Caenorhabditis elegans: one gene and its partner. The protein of the gene in region 1 purifies or fractionates together with the protein of each later gene. This does not show direct contact. Each region holds a gene or a part of one and is shown on either strand. Other genes may lie near its edges. The genes, in order: pfas-1 and tiar-2.

Region 1 (9,528 bases):
AGTTACAGAAATCTGACAGTGTTTTTTTTCAATAGTTGGCTGAAAATAGGAAGAAAAAGAAGAAAAAACCACAACAATGGTTAGACATCCAAAAAAAGTTTTAAAATGTGTAAATTGAACTCAAAATAAAATTATAATTTTTCAGTCGTTAGAAGGTGACAAGTGTACGTTCAATTTTCCAAAAGCCTCCGATAATCAGGTTTTTTTTGGGTCTAAATGCTGTATAAATGTACTTATTCCTTTCAGAAATCCGCTCAGCAGTACTGTGAAGACAATGTTCCCTATCATATCAATAATGCAGAAGCATCGGAATACAAAACAACCTGTGAAGCAGAAGCAACATTAATTTGTAAAAGTGGATGGGTTCAGATGTTCGGAAGGTGCTACAAGATCACCAAGACGATGATGACACGTGACAAGGCTGAAAAACATTGCAAGAATCAACAGGATCAGACATCGACAATTGCATTCATGCACAGAGAAGCATTGCCTTTTAGATGGAATGGTTTGTTTTCAACTATTCAAAGCAAAGCTTATCAGAGTAATTTCAGATTACTTCACTCGTGTTTCTCGTATCTGGATGGATGCAAGTGAAGTTGTCACTAATGATTTGATCTATGACGTTGAAGGTGGTAATGTACTTCTGGCATTCGATGGATACAAATACAATCTTCCAAATGTTGCAATTGCTCGTGTGTCTAAGGATGAAACTGCAATGGTTCTATGTGAATACACTCCACCAATGACAAAATCAGAGAGCAACTACTTGCTCAGAAGATATGGGGAGATCTATTATCCACCTCTTGTCACATCAGAAGCTGTGTACATTAGAACAACGAGCAGTCGAATCAGAAATGAGGAAGATAAATTGGCAGATCACAAGTATTGCACAGAGGTCATGAAACCAGTTTTTCGCGGTGGACGGGCTCAATCAGCATCTCCCACTCAGGGGCTGGTGAAAGAGCTTTTCGAACAGCAGGATGTTGGTATCATTCGAACATCATCAGTTTCAGCACATGCCAACGCAAATGAGAGGAATAAATAAAAGTGCTCCGTTCAAGCAAAACCCCACCATCGTATTTATTTGACTGGAAATGTGAGCTTATGGAAGGTGAAATGTTTTTGAAGATCTCTTTACAGAAAGGCGAAGCTGTACCTTTTCCTCTCGATAATGCAATATGGCGAAAGGGTGAACCAAATGAGTCTTGCGATGCAGCAACATGGAGCTCTGCGGTGGTTTTGAGGTTACATAATTTAAAGACAATTAACTTTATCATAAACATTTTCAGCCGACGTGAAAACGAAGGCCTCGAAGTTATGTCTGATGCTCGATATGCTCCAATTTATTGTGAACAAATTGTGAAGGGGTTATCTTATACAAAATGTCCGGATGGATTTGTGGAATACTATCGGAAGAATGAAGGAAAAACCTGGTGTCACAAATATGTATGGGATGATACCGCGAATTACGATAACGCTGAACAAAAATGTCAACAATTGGGTGCTCATTTGTCTTCTTTTACGTCCGATGAAGAATTTCAATTCCTAAATGGTAGGTGCGGTAACATTTCTATATATAGAGCACAGCTTGGGCTTTTACTGCGTAAATGTAGTGGTGTGGAAGAGACATGGTTGCAGTAAGAAAAAAACTTTTGAATCGATATTTAAACTTCAAGTACAACAATCTCTCTTTTACAGATATGATTGCTAAGAGTGAACAACTTCCAAATACCGATTATATTGAAGTATTGCTGGGTGCAAGAAGACGAAAGCGTTGTAATGATTTATCAATTGTGGGTCGTGGAGGGTTCTCTTCGGATAAAGAAAGTGAATGTTCTCGTCGTCGAGTCTTTGAATGGCTTCACGATGTTGCTGAGAATCCACCAAATTTTCTGGATGCTTATTGGCCTTCTCCGTATGAACCAAATCATGCTCTTGTGGATGAAGAATGCCTAGTTATGATGAGTGGGAAAACGAAGTGGTGGAATGGTAATGGAACAAGGAAATTGAATGATCATTTTTGTCAATGGCGGTTTACTTACATTTGCGGGAGAGAAGCTCCGATTCTCACAATTGATTGATATTTAATGTGTTTCGTTTTAAATTGTAATTATTGAATGAAAAGTGTTCTTTTAGACATTTAAATATGATATCGGTAATTTCGTAAAAATAGTGAAAGCAAATATTTATTGCCCGATTTACCATGTCTTACAAAGCCATTTTGAAGTTTGAAAATATAGAATATCTTCTATATTTGAACAGTTTCCGCAAAGTGAGTTATCTTTTCATGTTCATAAGATTGAAAATGTTTTCAATTCATTTTACAATTAGGAAACCAACCTAAAATGCGAATCAAGCTTCTCATCGCTGTTTACATTTTGTGTTATAATCTTATATTGATAACTAACCGTTTCCACCAGCTCCTTGATCATGTATCGCCATCAATGGATTTCCACCAATTCTCTCTGCACATGCTCTAACAACTCGATGAAGTTTACCACCCATTTCAGCATCTCCACGTTGCACGGCAGCAAAGTCCAACTGATTTTCACGATTTCCTTGAACAGAAACTGAACTTGCAGCTCCACCACCGACTCCAATTCTGTATACGGGGCCGCCGATTTTGACGACTTTTTGATGAGGAGCACATGGCTCTTTTCGTACTTCATCTTTGTCTGAATAATTATGAATTGTTTTAAAAATATTATATGAATACAATTATTACCTATTGCACCAATTCCTCCAGAAAACATAATTGGCTTCAAGTATTCACATCTTTCTCCGTTCTCTAGTCTCTGCCCAAATGATCGAGCAAATCCAGAAATCACGGGCTCACCGAACTTGTTACCATAATCTGATGCTCCATTGGAAGCCTCTATGGCTATCTGAACAAATTTCAGAATTTTTAGTAATATATTTTAAAATACCTTCGCTGGTTCACTGATCGATGTGGGATACTCGAATGTCTCATCTTCCCAGGGCAACGGAAGCCCCGGTAAATTCAAATTCCCAAAGGAATACCCAACGGTTCCTGAAATTTCCTGAAGTATATAATTTTATCAGGACAAGGAAAAACAAACCAGCAATCTCATATGCCCCTCTTCCAGTTGCATGAATATCTCTAATTCTACCGCCAGTTCCAGTTGTTGCACCCTGGAATGGACAAACTGCAGTTGGGAAATTGTGAGTTTCAGCAGAGTAGATGAGATGGGATGGTGGAAATATGGCAATCATTGGGGATACAGTAGTTGGATCGTTTGGACGAAGACGGCAGACACTCTCGAATCCTCGAATTGCGCTGAAATTAAATTTTTAAAATTCGAAAATTCTCCAGCATTTTCACCCACAATGTGAAAGTTTATATATTTTTTTCCTGAGATAATCAAAAAGTTTTCAACTATAACATCTAGAAATATGACAGATCATCGCTAGATGCCTTCTGACACCCGCTACTCGCCCATGTCTTGCTCACGCAAGCTTGAACTTTTCAAGAAAAATAAAAATACCTGGAATTATCGCAAAAAGCAATCAAACTATTATCATTTGAACTGTCAAGTGTCTCTCTGATTGTTTTCATTAAAGATCCATCTCTCTTCCGATCATCAATCCATATTTCTCCACGGAAGAACCAATGACGAGAATGCTCAGAGTCCGATTGAGCCAAATCAAAAAGTTCAACGTCTGTGGGGTTTCTGAAACATTAGAACTCATATTTCAAATTTTTCCAGAAATATTAAAGTGTCAGTTCAGAGTCCTTTTGAAAATCGAGTACTAGTTCACAAGCCTCCTTACTTTTTGACTTTGTTCACAAAAAAATCGTAATAAAAATCAAGATCCAATTGATCCAAAGCCAACCCCAGTTCTTCATTTGCCTGAAACTTTCAACTTTAACACAATTCATTCACTTTAAAACTACCTTAATCAAGTTCTGTTTTGATTCCAAGACATCAATCAGAAATACTTTTTCTATCTGATGACTCTCATCGTCAAACTTCACATCATTTCCATAAATTGCTTCTGAATATTAATCTTCAATTTTTTGTAGAGTTCTCAATAATTCACCTGTCATTTTGTCCGCAGCAATTTCAAAAAACTCATTAACATCCACATCATCTTCCACCAAATACCGAATTCCTCGTTCAATTCTCTCCACATTCTTGATACCAGAACTTTCGAAAATGCTAAGGATGTTTGTGCAAGCAGCTGTTTTCACAGCTGTTCGAGGGCCGATTTCAATATTTTTTCCGTGTTCCGGATGTAGTTGCGATTCTTTCCAAACAGAGGTTTCAAATGGAGAATGAGATAATAAAGTAACAAGCTTTTCCCAGTTGGAGGAAATGAGCTCCGGCTGAAATCGTTTTCGGAAATTTACGTATTCTGGCTCCCACGGAAAGATGTTACGTCGCATATGCGGCAGTAAAGTTCGTGTTAAAATTCACGTGTTTGAGTTCAAAAGATCAGAACGGCTATTTTTCAATCTTCGATATTTAAAAAATCGTTAAAAATTGTACAATTTATGCCACAAAACTATGGTACCCGGTCTCGACACGACAAACATTTTTAAATATAGAACAAGATATTTTCCTTACCTCTTGAGTAATAACATGGTAGCAATACTCGACAGAAACATCAATTTTTCGATTGAACTTCTTCTCAAAATCTTTTTGAATCTGATCCAATTTTCTTGACTCAACCGCTTTCGCGTAAAGCTTAACATGAAACTTAGTCATGCTTACCAAATGTTTTAGTTCCTGAAAACTGATTTGGTTTTCAGACAGATATGTATTATAGAAAAATTAAGAATGAAAACCGAACAGAGAATGAGAATCTACAAATGTTTTCAAAAATCAATTCAAAGAGCTGATAAGAATTGCAATTTACTGTTTTTATGTGTTTTTCAGTGGTGTCGTTGACATTGTGAAGCATAACAAGGTTGAGAATAGACAGGTAATTGATATTTTTCAGTAGTGATAAGAAAAAATGTTTGCCTGATAGTATTCTAATGTTGCAAAATTTTCAAGAACAAAGTATTTAGTTTTTGGATGTTTCTTGGGCATTTACTATCTGGAAATCATGAAAAAAAAACAAAAGAAGACAAAAGAATGCCAATGGGGGGATGTCTTAAAACTGCAGTACATATTTTAATACCTAACAGTTAAAGAACTTTGTTAAATTTTTTGATTTTCAAGAGAATTATTTTTTCTGTAAAAATTTGTTTGAGTCTATTTTTCAACACTTTTCCGCATTTTCTGTTGTACATATGTATATGAAAAGTTATAAAAAATAAAAGAATGTATGCAATGAATTCCCAACAGTGTTGTAAAGAGAAGTTATGTTTTAGATGTAACAATAATAGTATGAATATATGAATATGAATAATAATATGAATTTATTGCAATAAGTTAATCAATAATATAAGTTAAAACAACAGAAACCCAGGAAATCTTTACATCTTCCGATATGTATCCATACTCAATAACTCGGCAATCTTCTTCTCAACTTCAGGTGTTTTAGTCGTTGAATCTTCAGCTACAGATGGATCTTTCATCTTCATATTGTACCAATCTCCATAATCTTCATCTCCATTACCATTATTATTTCCATTGTTGCCACTGTTTCCATTATTCCAGTTATCACCACCACCGCCATTTCCTCCATTATTGGATTCCCAATTGTTTCCATCATTTCCATTATTATTATTATTGCTACCCCATCCTCCTCCGTTGTTACTGTATCCTCCAGTTCCTCCATTATTATTATTATTATTATTATTGTTATTATTGCTACTAGAAGATCCCCATCCGTCGTTTCTATTGTTATTGCTACCGTATCCATTCTTACTGTATCCTCCTCCAAAGTTATCATTGTCATTATCCTGATTTCCATTTCCATTCCATTTGTTGCTACTGCCATAGTTATCATTGTCTCCCCAGTTTCCACCTCCAGAGCCTCCAGATCCTCCAGTTCCACCATTTCCCCATGATCCTCCAGAATTGCCATTATTGCTTCCCCAGTTATCATTATCAGTATTTCCTCCTCCAGAACCTCCATTTGATCCTGATCCACCATTAGATCCACCCCAATTGTTGCTCAACTCAGATCCATAATTATCTCCTCCATTATTGTTACTTCCCCATTGATCACCACCTTCATTTCCTCCACCTCGATTTCTTCCATAACTATTTCCACTTGGCTTCCATGATCCTTCATTTCCATAATTAGAATCTCCATCATTTCCTCCATTTGAACCACTTCCCGAGGATCCACCCCAATTATCAGAGTTTCCATTGCTGTTTCCAGATCCTTTCCAAGAATTTCCATCGTTGTCATTTGTACCCCATGAATTACCATAGTTATTATTATTATTGTTGTTGCTCTTTCGATTGTTGTTGTTATTATTCCAGCCGTCATTTTCGTTGTCTCCTGAAACAAATTACAGAATTGAAATTTTTCTAAAATAGCGTCAGTAGATTCTTAAACCCATGAACAAGAAAACTGTATAAAGAAAAACAGGCGGTCTATTAGAAAATTAGAAGTGTTTTCTAGCTTAGAAAGATAGGCTTACATTAGGCGACTTGAAAAGAAAGATATATTTTCCGTGTTTCGAGCATTATCATAAGATGTCTAAGCTTGCTCATGAAATATAATGTATCGGAAAAATTGAAAATTCACCATTATTCCAATTAGATCCTCCTCCAGATCCTCCACCACCACCATTGTACCCTCCAGAATTTGATCCCGAATTCCAATTGTCTTGATTATTCCCATTTCCATTATAATCATCTCCATCGTTTCTATTTCCATATTTGTTCATTCGATTGTTTTTAGAGTTGAAATTGTTATTATTGTTCTGATCTCCATTATTCCAATCGTCATTCTCTCCGTCATTCCGAGAAGATCCTCTCCATCCTGAACCGGTTCCTGCTCTATGAGCCGAGGATTGACCTTTTGCAGTGTCGACGCTTCCTGGAATAAGTATGAATGTTTGATTTTAAAATAATATATTTCTTACCATAACTTCCAAAAGTTCTCTTTCCAGTTCTGGTCATTCCACCTACACGATCTCCTGGCAGACTGCTTTGTGATTCAGGGAGCCCTTGATATCCACTGGAACAAGTTTATATATTGCAAACGTTTTCCTTCAAAAAAGTTAAACTCACGATGCATAAGGATTTCCAGTTGAAGCTCCACTTCTGCCTCTTCTTGAAAAAGTCGCACCAGTGTTTGTATATCCCCTTTCAAAAGCTCCCAGTCCAAATTTTTTCTTACTTTTTGCTTTAATTGTAGATACTGCTGGAAATGCGGCGACTACAATTGCTCCTTGGTCGCGGGCAACTTTCGAAAGATCCACAAGAGGTGAACTTTCTGGAAAATGTATAGATTCATTGTAGGCTGATTCATTTGTGCGAATTTTAATTTTTTTTTTTCTGAGATATTTACAGTAACTTGTCATCTTTTGTGGTGGGACCTAAGATGTTATGAGCTGAATTTAAAAAAATTCGGAGGGAACAGTTTAAAAATTGCATAATTGGAAAATGATGTTTCGTTTCAAAAACCGAAACGATTATTCAAAGTTGGCAAGTTTCTCAACAAAATGTTAAAGAAAATATTTGAGAATATTGCAGTTATTTTATGATACTGTTAAAAATTTTTTTTAAAAATGCAAAAGATTAAAAACCAAAGACAAAACCGGTAAACCTACCATTTTTAGCCAACGTCTCTGTAAGGTTGAACTCGCAAAGTACGGAAGCAACAAGAAAAGTGAAATACTTTATGTTCATATCAAAATGTGATATTGAATTGAATGTTTGAATTGCACACATTATATAGCCATGCCAACAAATCGCCCGGATCTCTTCCGGTAGATCAATGCGAATGTGTTTGTTTGTGTTTCGATTTGACAGGATGCCGGAGTCGACAGTGTTTAATAGGTTCAATGAGCATTAAGTGGTTAAGAAACAAGGAAATAGGGATTATTTATTAATTTTAATTTGATTGAAAACATTCTTTCATTATTGGAAGATAGTGAAGACAATGAAGTTTTGATTCATCAAATCGAACTTCCGAATCAGAAGGAGCACATAGATCCACACAATTTGATGGTATACGACTCTGCAAAAAATTTAAAATTTGATGAATAAAACCGATTTATTGGATATGCTGTACTATTACTTTGCTATACGGAAAAAACTAAAGTTTTTAAATAAATTGAATATGTTAGTCAACAATTGTTAATTTGCTGAATAATTGTTAAATTAATTTTCTAAATATCCAAATTTTGGCAAACAAAATTGGCAACTGTGAAAAGGAAATTTCAACAATGTTTCCGACAAATTATTAAAGAACTTTGCAGTTTCAGATAACTTTACAGCTGTACAGAAAACCTTCAAAAATTTTATCTTGAATTATCGAGATAAATTTGTGCGAGTTTCTTGAATCAACTTTTCTATTGAAATAAATACATTTTCGAACGTGCCTGTTCACAGCATTCTGTGTGATCCATATTCATAGATGCACAAAAATGAATAGTTCTAAGTGATGAACTTGGACATCTTCTGGGCTCCGCGAGCAGTCGAAAGATGGAAGATTCATTATAAGTCTCAAATGAGCAGAATCCCATGCATCTCTCCGGAAGTAAATTATCCACACAACATTGTTCCATTTTTAACGAGTACTCGGATTCCTGAATTTTGAAGTGGGATTATTTAATTTTCATGAGATTTTTTTTTGAATATTTTTGAAGAAAAAATCTTGAAGAAGTTGGATTTTTTGAAATTATTCAAAAGCAGATTATTGCCAAAGTTAAACAATAGAGAAACAACAAAACTCCGTAAATTCCGAAAAATATTTTAAATACATATTTCAAAACAGAATTTTCTCATAGTTTCAATAAAACTAGAAAAGAACCTACCTCTTCATTCACATATTTAGTTTTACTTGCCAATGCTCTTCCACCAACACATCTATTCAATCGGCAGATATATCCATTTTGGCAGCTGTTTCTTGTTAGGCATTCTCTATGAATTACTGGTGGTGGAAGATTCAAACTATCAAGACTTGGAGGACACTGAACAAATAAGACTTTTTTAATTTAGTGAACTTTTATAGGAGTCGCGTTGATAAATGAGAAAAAATTCAAAAATATTTTAAAAAATTCAAAACAATTCTATCCCGCTTCATACAGAATATCTTTAAAAAAGAAAACTTACAGCATAGCTTAACGTGATCAAAAGAATAAAACGAGAATAAATCGAAAGAACTAAAGTATTACCAGACACTTTCATTTTAGAATCCAAAACTGTGAAGAATATAATTTATACGAAAGACATGAGAAATCCTGAACAAATAACTGCTAAAGAATAATAAAAAGAAGCGGGACACAAACAAAGAATTATGAAAATAAGAATGGTTATTGTTATATGAATCACTAAATATTTGGGAAAAATCGAAAGTTTTGGAAATCGAGAGTTACGAAATTGCTCGTCATAACCGGAAATGAGACGTCAATTATGTTCATGTGAGGACTGA
Region 2 (12,332 bases), on another chromosome or scaffold:
AATTTTCGATTTCACACTAAAGAGCCCACTTCTATAGCTTAAAGGGGTCGTAGAATTTTTTCAAAATACACGTTAAAAAGAGCTCGTCGAGTTGTATACACCCCTAAAAAATCGTGAAATAATCTCAAATATTCGAATTTTCCTTCAATTAAAACCACCAGAAAATGAGGAAAAATAGCGATTTTTGAGTTTCACTCAAAATATCTCGGCTCAATGAGCTCCTATTGAGATACGGTAAAATATAAGTTGCAGTTGAGAGATATTTTAAGCGATTAAAAAAAAAGAACTCGAATTTTCATCCATCCAGCGCCGAGCTATAAGCCGTGACAACAATCACGCATGGTTTTGGAAAAAAAGTCGCCGCTTTTTTTGACATCGCATGTCAAAAGTTTTTTCAAAAACACCTACCCGTGGCACACACGCGATTTAAGAGAGGAAAATGCAGATAAGACTAATTTTTATCAATATTTCTTTTGCTGCGACGTGAATATTAAAACAAATTATATATTTTTTTAAATTTACGTTTTGGATTTTAATTTCCAATTTTTTTCGGAAAAGTTCTAGGGAAAATTGGGAAAAAAATTGTTTTTTTTAAACATTTTTGCCAATAATTGGGCGGAGCTTAAGTTTAACGAATTCGAAAAATTCAACATTTACAGAAAAAAAAACTTACAACCTGACAAAATGACGGAATTCGAACTTCGTTCAATTTCAAAATAATTGACTTGTTTCTTTTTTCCCAACATAAATTTTCACGTTTTTTGAACCAAAAAACATTATTTCTTTTACGCCAAAATCAGGTTCCGTGAACTTTTTTTTTTAATTTTAGAACTTTTACAAGAAATGACACATGGGGTGTCCGGCAGTCCTAACACAGTTTGATCTACAAAAAATGCGGGATTTTTTTCTCAGAAAAATTGTAACGTCAGCACGCTCTTAACCCTGCGAAATCAGTTGAGAACTCTGCGTCTCTTCTCCCGCATTTTTTGTAGATCTACGCAGATCAAGCCGAAATGAGACACTCTGACACCACGTGATAATATTGGATTAAACAATCCGAATAATAGTGCGAATTGGTTGATGGGGACGAGAGAGCGTAGCCTTTCGGCTATATAGTAGGCTCTGTGCAAGAAGTGAATGAAAGTGAATGTGGATGCGTGAGAATGAGAATGATGACAAAAGGTGATTGCGAAATAGTAAAGGAAGACGAATGAGTAAGTGGCGGGTAGATCAAACGGGTAGATCAATAATAACTATCTCGGCAATTCGGCGCCACTTTTAAACCAACTTTGGCCACTTTCTAACTGCCATTAGATATCAGCCACTTTCCAACCAACTTTCGCCAACTTTTGCCACATTTGTAAATGGAAGTGGCTCAAGTTGGTTGAGCAGTGGCGCCGATTTACCGAGTAGACGAGCGCACGTGCTCGCTGGCTGTCTCGAAATTCACGTTTTCTCGCGGACGAGAAAACTTGAGAAATGTGAGAAAATGGCCTAGAAAATCCTGGAAGAGGAGAATTCCTCGTCCACAGCCAAAATAGCGTGTGAAAGAAGAGACGCAGACGGCAAAACGGTTTTTCTTGGCGTTTTTCACGTCCAGAGAAAAAAGTAGTATCTGCGTCTCTCACGCCCAATGGATAGCGAGAGTTGGCGCCAACGTGAATTCTCAATGAGGCGCATTTGCTTCAAAATTATGCAAAAGGACAGCCAGCGACCACGTGCGAGCGCTCTCGTGGTTGCTACAGCTACCGCGGTGGATCCGCGACACACAAAAACTATTACGGAGCCATCAGATCATGAAAATACGTTATATAGCTAGTATTTTTTTTCAATTATGTCTAAGCATTTTTACAGTTCATTCAATTTACAAGAAAAAACATGAATTTCAAACAGTTCCCCAGTTGGACTTTACATCGTTGATTGTCTCGTTATCGTCAGCCGAACGCTCCTCCATCTTTACTTCTGCAAAAAAAAACATTTTTAAGCAGCCGACAAAATCGAGGTGAGCGAATGCAGACAAAATTCGACTATTGCAATCGAGTGCCATCCTGGTGGACACATCGGCGAAAAATATCGAAGGCCCGCACCCTAACATGGCTGATGTGGAACCCACCTTTGATTTCTCTTTTGAGAAGTCTATTAGCATCTCCAGATCCTCCACTACCTCCGCCGGAACCGCCAGACTTGTTAACCAAGTTGGCTCCAGCCGGAGCCGGTGCTCCACTGGATTTTCGATCGAAGCCACGTGGCTTCAGTTTTGCCGCTTCGTTCTTCTCTTTCTTGCACGAGACGAGAATCGACGCGAGCACGGTGATGGATATGAGGAGTTCAATAAGCATTTTTTCAAATTGTCACGTGTTTGAGCGTATCCTGGAAATTGTCATTATTTCACAGATCGACTTTTCCGCACAGGTCCGGAAAATTGAAAACTAGGATCTTTTTCTCTCAAGATTTCGATCGAAAAATCTCTAAAAAGTCTGTCAATCGCAGGCCCGAGTTTTGAACGATTGAGAAAACTAGGCCATCGATTGTTTCGCTAGGCCGCGCTGTAAATGCCCGCCGGCAGGAAAGCATAAAACTAGGCCACCTATGTTTTTTTTCTAGCGGCCACCCAGCACATATATATATATATATATTTAAATTAACTCACACTTTGATAAAAATGGTTTATAACGCCGTCGGTTAGATTGTTCGAAATAACTAATTTTTGGCTAATTTTTATCGATTTTTTTTTCTGTTGCCCCTTGTACATTAAAACACATTATATTTTTTAAAAAAGGTTCACGTCTTGGATTTTAATTCCCAATTTTTTCCGGAAAATTTGCAGAGAAGATTGAAAAAAAAAATTTTTTTTTGAGATTTTGTGCCAATAAGTGGGGGGAGCTTAAGTTAAGGAGCTTAAATTCGAAATACTATTTATCTAATTTCGAATAAACAAACAAACAAATTTTTTTTTTGTGATTTTTTGAAATTTTCCGGCTCCATGAACATTTATTTATTTCATAAATAATAACTTTTACAATAAAAAAATGACAGGAAGTAAATAACATAGGACATTTTTATATTAGACAATTTTTCTGTTGCAAAAAAAAAATAGAAACGCGTGGAATTCAGGGGGGTGGGGAAGAAAAAAAAATCAATAAATTAAGGCAGATGAAAATATACAAAAAAAACGGGGAAATTGGGTGAAAAATAATTAAAAATGGATTTCTAATTCGTTAAAAAATGCAATTTTCTTGGGGAGAGGACAAATACAAAACAAAAAAATTCCGGAATTTTCAAAACATAAATTGCAAATTCACAGAACTCAGCAATATATTTAGTTAAACTGAAGCAAAAGATGTTTGGAAAAAATTTTAAATTTCCGAAAAATTCAAAAAATTGAAAAAAAAAAATTGTTGAATTAAGAAAAATTAAATTTTGTTTTCTTAAAAAAATACAGGAAAATAATTATTTTTGTATTAAATAACTATTTAAAAAATTCCAAAAATCCGCTCAATTTTCTGCATTTTTTTTCAGAAAAACAGGAATTTTACCAGTTTTTTTTGGGAAAAAAATGCTCAGAATTTCCAAAACAGGAAAAAATCAAGAAAATAGGAAATTTCAATGTTACTCAAAAAATGATTTTTAAAGTTTTATTGAATTTTTTTCCACAAAATGTGCTCAATTTTTGCTGGAAAAACAGGAAAATGATTATTTTTGTATTAAATAACTATTTGAAAAATTCAAAAAAAAAATCAGCTAAATTTTGTCCAATTTTTTTCCAGAAAAACTGGAATGTTACCATGTTTTTTTGGAATTTTTTTTTCAAAACTTCCAAAAACAGTAAAAATAAAGAAATTTGATTTTTTAAAGAATTATTTTTCCACAAAATGTGCTCAGTTCCCTCCAAATTTCTAGAAAAACTGGAATTTTACAAGTTTTTTTTTTTTTGGAAAAAGATCTTGCTGAAATTTAATTAATTAACAAAATAAGAAACGAATTATCTCAGAAAATTGATTTTTTAAAGAATTTTTTCCATAAAATGAGCTCAATTTTCTCCAATTTTTCAGAAAAAAAATTCACAAAATTTCCAAAAACAGCAACAAAAAAATTAAGAAAATTGGAAATTTCCAAATTTCCAAAAACAGCAAAAAAAAAATAATTTTTTCACAAAATGTGCTCTCAATTTCCTCCAGTAGATGAAGCTGCTGCAGCTGGTGGTGGTGGTGGTCCATCCTTTTGCCAATAATTATTCCATTGTTGCATCAAATGTGGATTATTGTAGTATTGCGAATAGTACTGCCAATATTGATTATTTTGGCCTCCACTTCCGCCTCCAGAACCACCATTTCCAGATGGTGGGGGTCGTTGATTAAAATTCGAAAATTGCGAATTTCCGGGTCCTCCGCTGCCGCCGCCGCCACCGCTGTTACCGTAACCGTAACCGTAGTTGCCACTGCCGCCACCACCGCCGGATCCTCGCTCGGATGGCTTTCCAGACTGAAATAAAATTAATTAGGTGACTTTTTGAGAAAAAATAGAAAATTTTTTTGAAAATTCAAATTTTAAAAAGGGTTTTATAAGGAAAATTTAAGAATATTTTTTCTTAAAAAAAAAAGCAATTTTTGCCAAAAAAATTGGTTTATTTCAGTTTTTTCTGAATTTTTCGGTTTTCAACAAAAAAACTGAAATTTCCAGCTTTCCGGAAAATTGGCAAATTACCGGAATTGAAATTTCCGGAAAATTGCAGGAATTGAAATTTCGGGCAAGTAGGTAAATTGCCGGAATTGAAATTTTCGGCAAATTGGCAAATTACCGGAATTGAAATTTCTGGCAAAACGGAAAGCTGGAAATTTCAGTTGTTTTTTGTCAAAATCTGTGGTTTTTTTGGATTGAAAATTCAGGTTTAAACAGAAATTTTTAATGAATTTTTCAATGTCTAAATAATTTTTAGCATTTTTTTCTTGAAAATTCAAAATTTTCCCGATTTTCGAGTAAAAAATGAATTTTTTAGAGAAAAAACTCTACAAAGAAGCTGCAAAAATAGAATTTTTAGTAATAAAAAAATTCCTAAAATTCCTAAGCTATATTTTTGATTTAAAAAATTGAAACCAGTATAATTTTTTAGAAATTTTTTATTTTTTTAAAAATAATTATTAGTTAATTTTTTAAATTCCAGTGTGTAGCTTTTTCTCGAAATTTTTAAATTTTTTTTTTCGAAAAATTAAGTAAATTTGTGATTTTTTTAATCCAATTTTTTTTTGAATTTTTTGGAATTTTCATTCTAAAAAATTCTGAAATAAAAGTTTAATTAAATTAAATTAAATTAAATTAATTTAAAATTTAACGGGATTTTTGAAGAAATTTTTTTTTTTTTTTTTTAATCCATTTTGGGTGATTTTTTGGGCATTTTTTTCTTCATTTCACCGAAAAAACCACGAACATCTCCACTTTTTCCCCAACTGCATCGAACAATTTGTCCTCCAATATCTGCATTATTCATCTGTACAATCGCCCGTGCCGCTGATTCTTTAGTCTCAAATTTCACAAATGCGTATCCCTGAATTTTGAATGTTCGTACTTCGTTGATTGGTCCGAAACGGTCAAAAGCTCGGCGAATTTCGTCTTCTGCAAAAAAAAAATAATTAATTTGGAGGATTTGTGGTGAATTTTTGGGGAATTTTTTCGACGGAAATTCTAGCAGCAAAAGTGCGGCAAATTTTTTGTCGACAAATTCGGCAAATCGGCAAATTGCCGGTTTGCCGAAATTTTTTTCAGTTCCGGTAATTTGCCGGTTTGCCGGAAATTTCAATTCCGGCAATTTTCCGATTTCCGGTTTGCCGGAAATTTTCAATTCCGGCAATTTTCCGGTTTGCCGATCTTCTAGAATACCTAGATTCCGGCAATTTTTCGATTTGCCGGAAATTTTCAATTCCGGCAATTTTTTCGATTTGACGCAAATTTTCAATTCCGCAATTTGCCGATTTAGGAAAGTTTTTTTTGTAAATATGAATCGGGGTAAACGATTTCTTCCGACAAATCGGCAAATTTCCGGAATTAAAAATTTCTGGCAAATCGGCAATTTGTCAAAAACGAAAATATCCGACAAACCGGCAAACCGGCATGATGCCGGATCTGAAAATTTCCGATAAATCGGCAAATTACCGGAAATGTTTAATTCCGGCAAATCGGTAAACCGGCAAATAGCCGGAATTGAAAATTTCCGGCAAATCAACAAATTGCCGGAATTGAGACTTTCCAGAAAATCGGCAAACCGGCGAATTGTCGGATTTGAAATTTTCGGCAAATCGGCAATTTGCCGAAAAAGAAAATTTCCGGCGAATCGGAAAATTGCCGAAAATGAAAACTTTCGGCAAATCGGAAAATTGCCGGAATTGAAAATTTCCGGCAAATCGGCAAATTGCCGGAATTGAAAATTTGCGGCAAATCGGCAAATTTCCGGAATTGAAATTTTCCGGCAAATCGGCAAATTTCCGGAATTGAAAATTCCCGGCAAACCGGAAAATTGCCGGAATTGAAAATTTCCGGCAAATCGGCAAATTGCCGCAATTGAAAATTTCCGGCAAATCGGCAAATTTCCGGAATTGAAATTTTCCGGCAAACCGGAAAATTGCCGGAATTGAAAATTTCCGGCAAATCCAAAAATTGCCGGAATTGAAATTTGCCGATTTTTCGACTAAAAAAATTGCCAATTTTACCTAAATTTTTTTGATTTTTTTTTGTAATTTTTAACAAAAAAAATACGCAAATTTTAAGTTTTTTTTGAAAATTTTTTTGAAAATTTCTGAAAACGAACCCCCAAGATTGGCAATATTTCCGACATAAACCGATGTATTATCAGCAGCAGCTTGATTAAAAATCTCATCATAAGTCTTTTCCGATTGATTATGATAACGATCTCTTCCACCGCCACCTCCACCTCTTCTATCACCACGATCACCACCACGTTCACCATCTTCATCAGGCTTCCGGGTGGCCCAGTTTGTTCGAATAGTCCGTCGGCCAAGCCATGCTCCATTCATCTCATCTATAGCTCTTTCGGCATCTTCTCGACGGGGGTATGATACGAATCCGTAGCCTTTTCCCTTGTTCGTATTGTTATCTGCAAAAAAAAATATTTAAAAATTGGTTGAAATTTAGACATTTTAAGGGAAAAAAAACGAAAAAATAGGGCCCACCAATTAGCGTTTTGCTCCGCCCACTTCCCAACCAATCGGGTTGAGTGGGGGGGGGGGGGGGGGGGCGGAGTCGAAGACGCTGATTGGTCGTACAGTTTTCACTTTTTTTTTCGTTTTTCCTTAAAAAGGAGAGAAATTCAAAAAAATTCAAAAATTGAGATTAAAATTTGGAGAAATTCGGCAAATCGGCAAATTGCCGGAAATTTTTAATTCCGTCAGTTTTCCTATTTTCCGGCAATTTCAATTCCAACAATTTGCCGATTTGTCAAAATTTTTGAATTCCGGCAATTTTCCTATTTTCCGGCAATTTTTGGATTTGCCAGAAATTTTCAATTCCGGCAATTTGCATTTGCCGGAAATTTTCAATTCCGGAAAATTGCCGGTTTGCCGAAATTTTGAATTCCAGCAACTTGCCAATTTGCCGGAAATTTTCAATTCCGGCAATTTGCCAGAAGTTTTCAATTCCGACAATTTGCCGGTTTGCCGGAAATTTTGAATTCCAGCAACTTGCCGATTTGCCTATTTTCCAGAAGTTTTCAATTCCGGCAAATTGTCGGTTTGCCGGAAATTTAGAATTCCAGCAATTTGCCGATTTTCCAGAAGTTTTCAATTCCGGCAATATGCCGATTTGCCGGAAATTTCAATTCCGGCAATTTGTCGAACCAATTTTCTTTTAAAATGTTTTTTCCGTAATTTTCTATAATCAAATTAGTCGAAAAATATTGATTTTTCCAGAATTTTCAATTTTTTTTTCAAATTAAAAAAAATTACCGCGAATAATTTTCGCCTCAGAAACTTCTCCGAACTTAACAAAAGCTTCACGGAGCTTTGTCGAATCAATTTCGGAGCACAAATCGCCGACGAAAACGTGAAAATGTCGAGAAGTTTCGGGTTTTGAGCGGTTTTCGCCCGGCTCGCGGGGCTCGAATGCCCACGTTACGTGCATTTCCTGAAACATTTTTTTGAAATTCTGTTGCAATTAGTTTAATTTTCAGATTTTCCCGGATTTTCCCGGGATTTTTAAGCCAAAAATTTCACTTTTTCCAGCAGCTCCCGCCCGTTGTGGCTCTGTAAAGCCAGCGTAGCCTGATTATGATCGGAAAACTCCACGAAAGCGTACGGATCGTTGAGTCCCTGCAATATTTATCTGTTTAAGACCCGGAATTTCGATGAAAAATCACTTCAAAAATAATTTTTGCCTTCATAACGGCGCCAATTTGATTGAAAAGCGTCGCGAGAAACTCGTCGGTTATCGCCGGATCCAGATTTGCAACGAATCTGCAAGCATCGCGGGTTTTTTATTATATTTTTTAATCTTCTTGCGAAAAAAAAATCCTACAAAGTTCTCGGGTCCTCGGAGCCAGAAGCCAGCTGAAAACCCTCTCGTTCGGCGATTCTCGCGTGCACACGGGGATTGAAGCCGTCTCCGTCTTCGCCACCTCCCGTGTAGAACGAAGTGGCCATTTTTTACAAAACTTTGCTGAAAAACGCGAAAAACTCGATAAAAATCCGGTAAAAACAAATAAAAACCAAAAATTAAATAAATAAATTCAAATTGTGCCGTAGAGCGCGCTTGCAATGTTTCAAAAAAACTTGTTTTTTAAAAATCTATTTTTTCCCTTTCTTTTCAACTTTTTAATCTTAAATTTAGTTATTTTTATTTATTTAATAAAGTTTTAGCCATTACTATCATTTTTCAATAAAAATTGCGAAATTTCTTATCACAATTTCCGATATAAATTCACTTAAAATCGATGAATCATGATTAATCATCAGTTGTCCGGTGGAGCGCACTTGCATACCCTTATATTTGCATTGATTTCCTCATTTTAAGAACAATTTCTAATCAATTTTCAATGAATTATTTTGATTTTTATTGTTATTTAGTGCTTTTAGAAAATTTTCCCGCTCTGGAACTCTATTTTTCTCTCATTTCTCACCCAGAAATCAATATTTTATCGGCTGTTACGAAATATTCCACTTTTCAGATGGATTTCCTGTTCGGACGCCGCAAGACGCCAGCCGAGCTTCTTCGACAGAATCAGAGGGCTCTGAACAAGGTAAATTATTGAAAAAACTGAGAAAATGAACTGAAAATCATGAAAAATTCAAACTTTCAGGCCATCCGAGAGCTGGACCGCGAGAGAGCTCGTATGGAGGCTCAGGAGAAGAAGGTTATCGCGGATATCAAGAATATGGCAAAGAAGAATCAAATGGACTCTGTAAAAGTGATGGCCAAGGATCTGGTGCGAACTCGTCGTTATATCAAGAAATTTATCGTTATGAAGGCAAATATTCAGGTAAAATCACGGAAATTGAATTAAAATAAAACAAAAATCTCTAAATCTCTTCAGGCGGTCTCCCTGAAAGTTCAAACCCTGAAATCGCAAGATGCGATGGCGTCGGCGATGAAAGGAGTGACAAAAGCGATGCAATCGATGAATCGGCAGCTGAATCTTCCACAAATCCAGAAAATTATGATGGAATTCGAGAAACAGAGCGAAATCATGGATATGAAGGAGGAGGTGATGGGCGACGCGATCGATGATGCTCTTGGAGACGCCGGCGATGAGGAGGAGACCGATCAGATCGTTAATCAGGTAAAAAAGCGAGAAAAACGCGAATTTTGGCTTAAAAAACTCATCATATAAATGTTTTTTTTTCTCAGGTTCTCGACGAGTTAGGCATACAAATGGGCGAAGAAATGGCCGGGCTCCCGTCGGCGGCCGGTGGACTCAATGCTGGTGGAGAACGGATCGGCGGTCGCCAAGCTGTTGCAGCTGGAGGTAGCGGTGGAGCTCATCATGGAGCCGGTGGAGCCGGTGGTGGAAATGATGTTGACGATGATCTTCAGGCCCGTCTTGATCAGCTTAGAAGAGAATGATTCTGTTTCTGATTTTTCATTTCTTGTAAATTTATGTGTATTTATTCGATTTTTTCCTCAATTTTTCGCCGAAAAATCCACAAAAAAAATGTATGGCAAGCAATTTATTGTCGAGAAAGCACAGCATGGGAATCAATTTTTTTTTAATTCGAGAAAAATAATTTTAAGATAGTCTACACTGCAGTCGTAGTTGGGAAGAATCGGCGAATCGTCTCGTCTCTCTCGTATCTCTCCTTGATATGCACTATTTCTTCGAGTGGAGCCGCCGATGGTCTCGCCTGGAAAACAAATTTTGTTGGAAAATCGATAGTTTGAGGGGGGGGTGGTTACTGTACCTTGGAGCTGCTGCTGGACTTGTTGGGGGAATTTGTTCTGAAAATGGGAAAATTATCGATTTTTCGGAAGAATTTTTCTCCGGAATTAATGGGATTTCTAGCTTCCCTCATAAATTGAAATGGAAGAGTTTTCCGAACTAGGCCAATTTGGCTGGGGCATATCTGGGGTAGATTTACGGCGCGTTGCGTGTTGCGTCGCGGCTCGATTTTAGTTTTAAAACTAAATGATTGTCAATAGAGCGCGAAAAATTCAATGAGGAAGGCCAGAACCCCGTGGCCGGAATCAGAAAAATTTTAGAAAATATCGATTTTTCTTTGAAATTATCGATTAATTCATCGAAAAATATCGATTTTCTCACCTTCCAGACGGGCGTCTCTTTGGCGAAGACGGGCGGTGCGATTGTTGGTAGGCTCTGCAAAAAAATCGATAAAACTTCAATTTTCAGGTATAATTTACCGTTCTTTCTCTGGATTATTGTATGGAATGTGCACTTCAGATGGGGTATGTGGGGTACTGACACCACGTGATAGGTACCTTGACTTCTCCACCCTGTCGCTTGGCGTTTTTGAGATTCCTCGGGTGTAATGTAGCTCGGGGGTCTCCGAATTGCGGGGTAACCTGGATTTACTACTATAGGACTACTGTATAAAAAAAAACTTACGACTTTTCTGATGGGGTCACCGATTTGTGGGATCTATAAGACGACCGCTCGGATTGCTGATAGGCTCTGAAATTTGGATTACTGTAGGGTTACGGTAGGTTTTGCTACTGTACCTCTCTTTTTCAGGGTTATTGTAAGGAATGTGAATATCCGAGCACGGAGTTCTAGAAAAATTTGGTTTTTTTTTTAAATTTTTGGAAATCTACCCTACCTCTCCGACCTGGAATCCTGATTGCTAGGAGTCTTGGAAATTCCCCTGAAAAATTATCGAGGTTTGCCGAAAGCTCCCCGAGTTAAAAAAAAATTACCTGGTATACGGTAAGTCCTCCTCCCTAGCCTGATGATCCCCCGGAAATCGGTTCTGCTGACTTTTATCCGCGAATCTGGAATTTTCGATAATTTTATCAGCAACTGAGCTCGGCAGTTTCAATCACCTTCCATAATCCAGCTCCTCCGGGCTTTGGCGTTTTGCAATCGGGCTGAAAATTTTTTTTTTAATTTTTAGAAATTTCTCAAAGCCTACCGAGTATGTGTAGTTGTCACCGGGATACGGACCTCTGATGGGCTTCTGCAAAAAAAAACCGAGAAATTGTATGAACTAGTAGCTCGCCTAGGCCTAATCCTAAGCCTGTGCCTAAGCGTGAGCCTAACTCTAACTAGGGAACCCCGTAAATACTTGGTGGATGGCATCAACAAAAAGTATACTAATCGAAAGTTTATGTTAAGCCTGAGCCAGAGCCTAAATCTAAGCTTAAACCGAAGCCTAAGCCTAAGCCTAAGCCAAAACCAAAACCTAAGCCTCATCCTAAGCCCAAGCCCAAGCCTATGCCAAAGCCTAAGACTAAGCCTGAGACTAAGCCTGAGCCTTATCCTAAGCCTAAGCCTAAACCGAGGCCTACGCCTAAGCAGAAACCGAAGCTAAGAACGGATCGACCGTACCTTTCAGATCTATGAGACCTGCTTGGCGATCTCTGACCTTCCCGCTTCACATTGTATTCTCGAACACTCGGAGTCTTGGAGATCCCTCTGAAAAGTCTTTCTATACAAATGTGTGCCCAGATATTTTGTCACCTAGTATATGGAAGTTCAGGGGTCTCGGAATGAACATGATGACGATGGTGGTGACGTGGTTCGCTGCAAAAAAAATTATGATTAAAAATGTGCTACATATCACTTTTTACCTCCTGTCAATCGACCTGCGATGCTCACTGTGAGCTCTGGATATTGCTGATCCTCTGCTCGAAGGAACTCTGACGTTTGTCACGGTTTG

The links.
Region 2: the proteins of pfas-1 (region 1) and tiar-2 fractionate together in Caenorhabditis elegans (co-fractionation; one large-scale study listed by BioGRID). This does not show direct contact.

The regions. Positions count from the first base shown.
Region 1 is NC_003281.10:4,638,553-4,648,080, forward strand, and holds the start of pfas-1 (putative phosphoribosylformylglycinamidine synthase), read right to left. Parts: upstream 4,759-9,528; 5' UTR 4,731-4,758; coding exon 4,590-4,730; intron 4,349-4,589; coding exon 4,063-4,348; intron 4,018-4,062; coding exon 3,917-4,017; intron 3,873-3,916; coding exon 3,793-3,872; intron 3,693-3,792; coding exon 3,507-3,692; intron 3,299-3,506; coding exon 3,081-3,298; intron 3,032-3,080; coding exon 2,928-3,031; intron 2,886-2,927; coding exon 2,726-2,885; intron 2,676-2,725; coding exon 2,409-2,675; intron 2,011-2,408; coding exon of another isoform or gene 1,699-2,010; intron 1,553-1,698; coding exon of another isoform or gene 1,290-1,552; intron 1,245-1,289; coding exon of another isoform or gene 1,141-1,244; intron 1,097-1,140; coding exon of another isoform or gene 552-1,096; intron 506-551; coding exon of another isoform or gene 247-505; intron 200-246; coding exon of another isoform or gene 146-199; intron 1-145. Other genes in the region: pqn-29 (Prion-like-(Q/N-rich)-domain-bearing protein), read right to left, coding at 5,447-6,423, 6,673-6,966, 7,013-7,107, 7,161-7,365, 7,703-7,781; dbd-10 (DB domain-containing protein), read right to left, coding at 7,987-8,112, 8,477-8,683, 8,912-9,067, 9,210-9,284. UniProt on the Caenorhabditis elegans protein: Phosphoribosylformylglycinamidine synthase involved in the purines biosynthetic pathway. Catalyzes the ATP-dependent conversion of formylglycinamide ribonucleotide (FGAR) and glutamine to yield formylglycinamidine ribonucleotide (FGAM) and glutamate.
Region 2 is NC_003280.10:12,765,055-12,777,386, reverse strand, and holds tiar-2 (RRM domain-containing protein), read right to left. Parts: upstream 8,702-12,332; 5' UTR 8,646-8,701; coding exon 8,521-8,645; intron 8,460-8,520; coding exon 8,363-8,459; intron 8,316-8,362; coding exon 8,220-8,315; intron 8,131-8,219; coding exon 7,953-8,130; intron 7,106-7,952; coding exon 6,800-7,105; intron 5,611-6,799; coding exon 5,426-5,610; intron 4,483-5,425; coding exon 4,165-4,482; 3' UTR 2,973-4,164; downstream 1-2,972. Other genes in the region: Y46G5A.14 (uncharacterized protein), read right to left, coding at 1,886-1,962, 2,114-2,339; vps-2 (Charged multivesicular body protein 2a), read left to right, coding at 9,170-9,241, 9,302-9,481, 9,536-9,781, 9,850-10,065; cnp-2 (Calcineurin-interacting protein 2), read right to left, coding at 10,239-10,343, 10,401-10,437, 10,760-10,813, 10,858-11,019, 11,063-11,128, 11,176-11,226, 11,274-11,318, 11,371-11,445 and 5 more.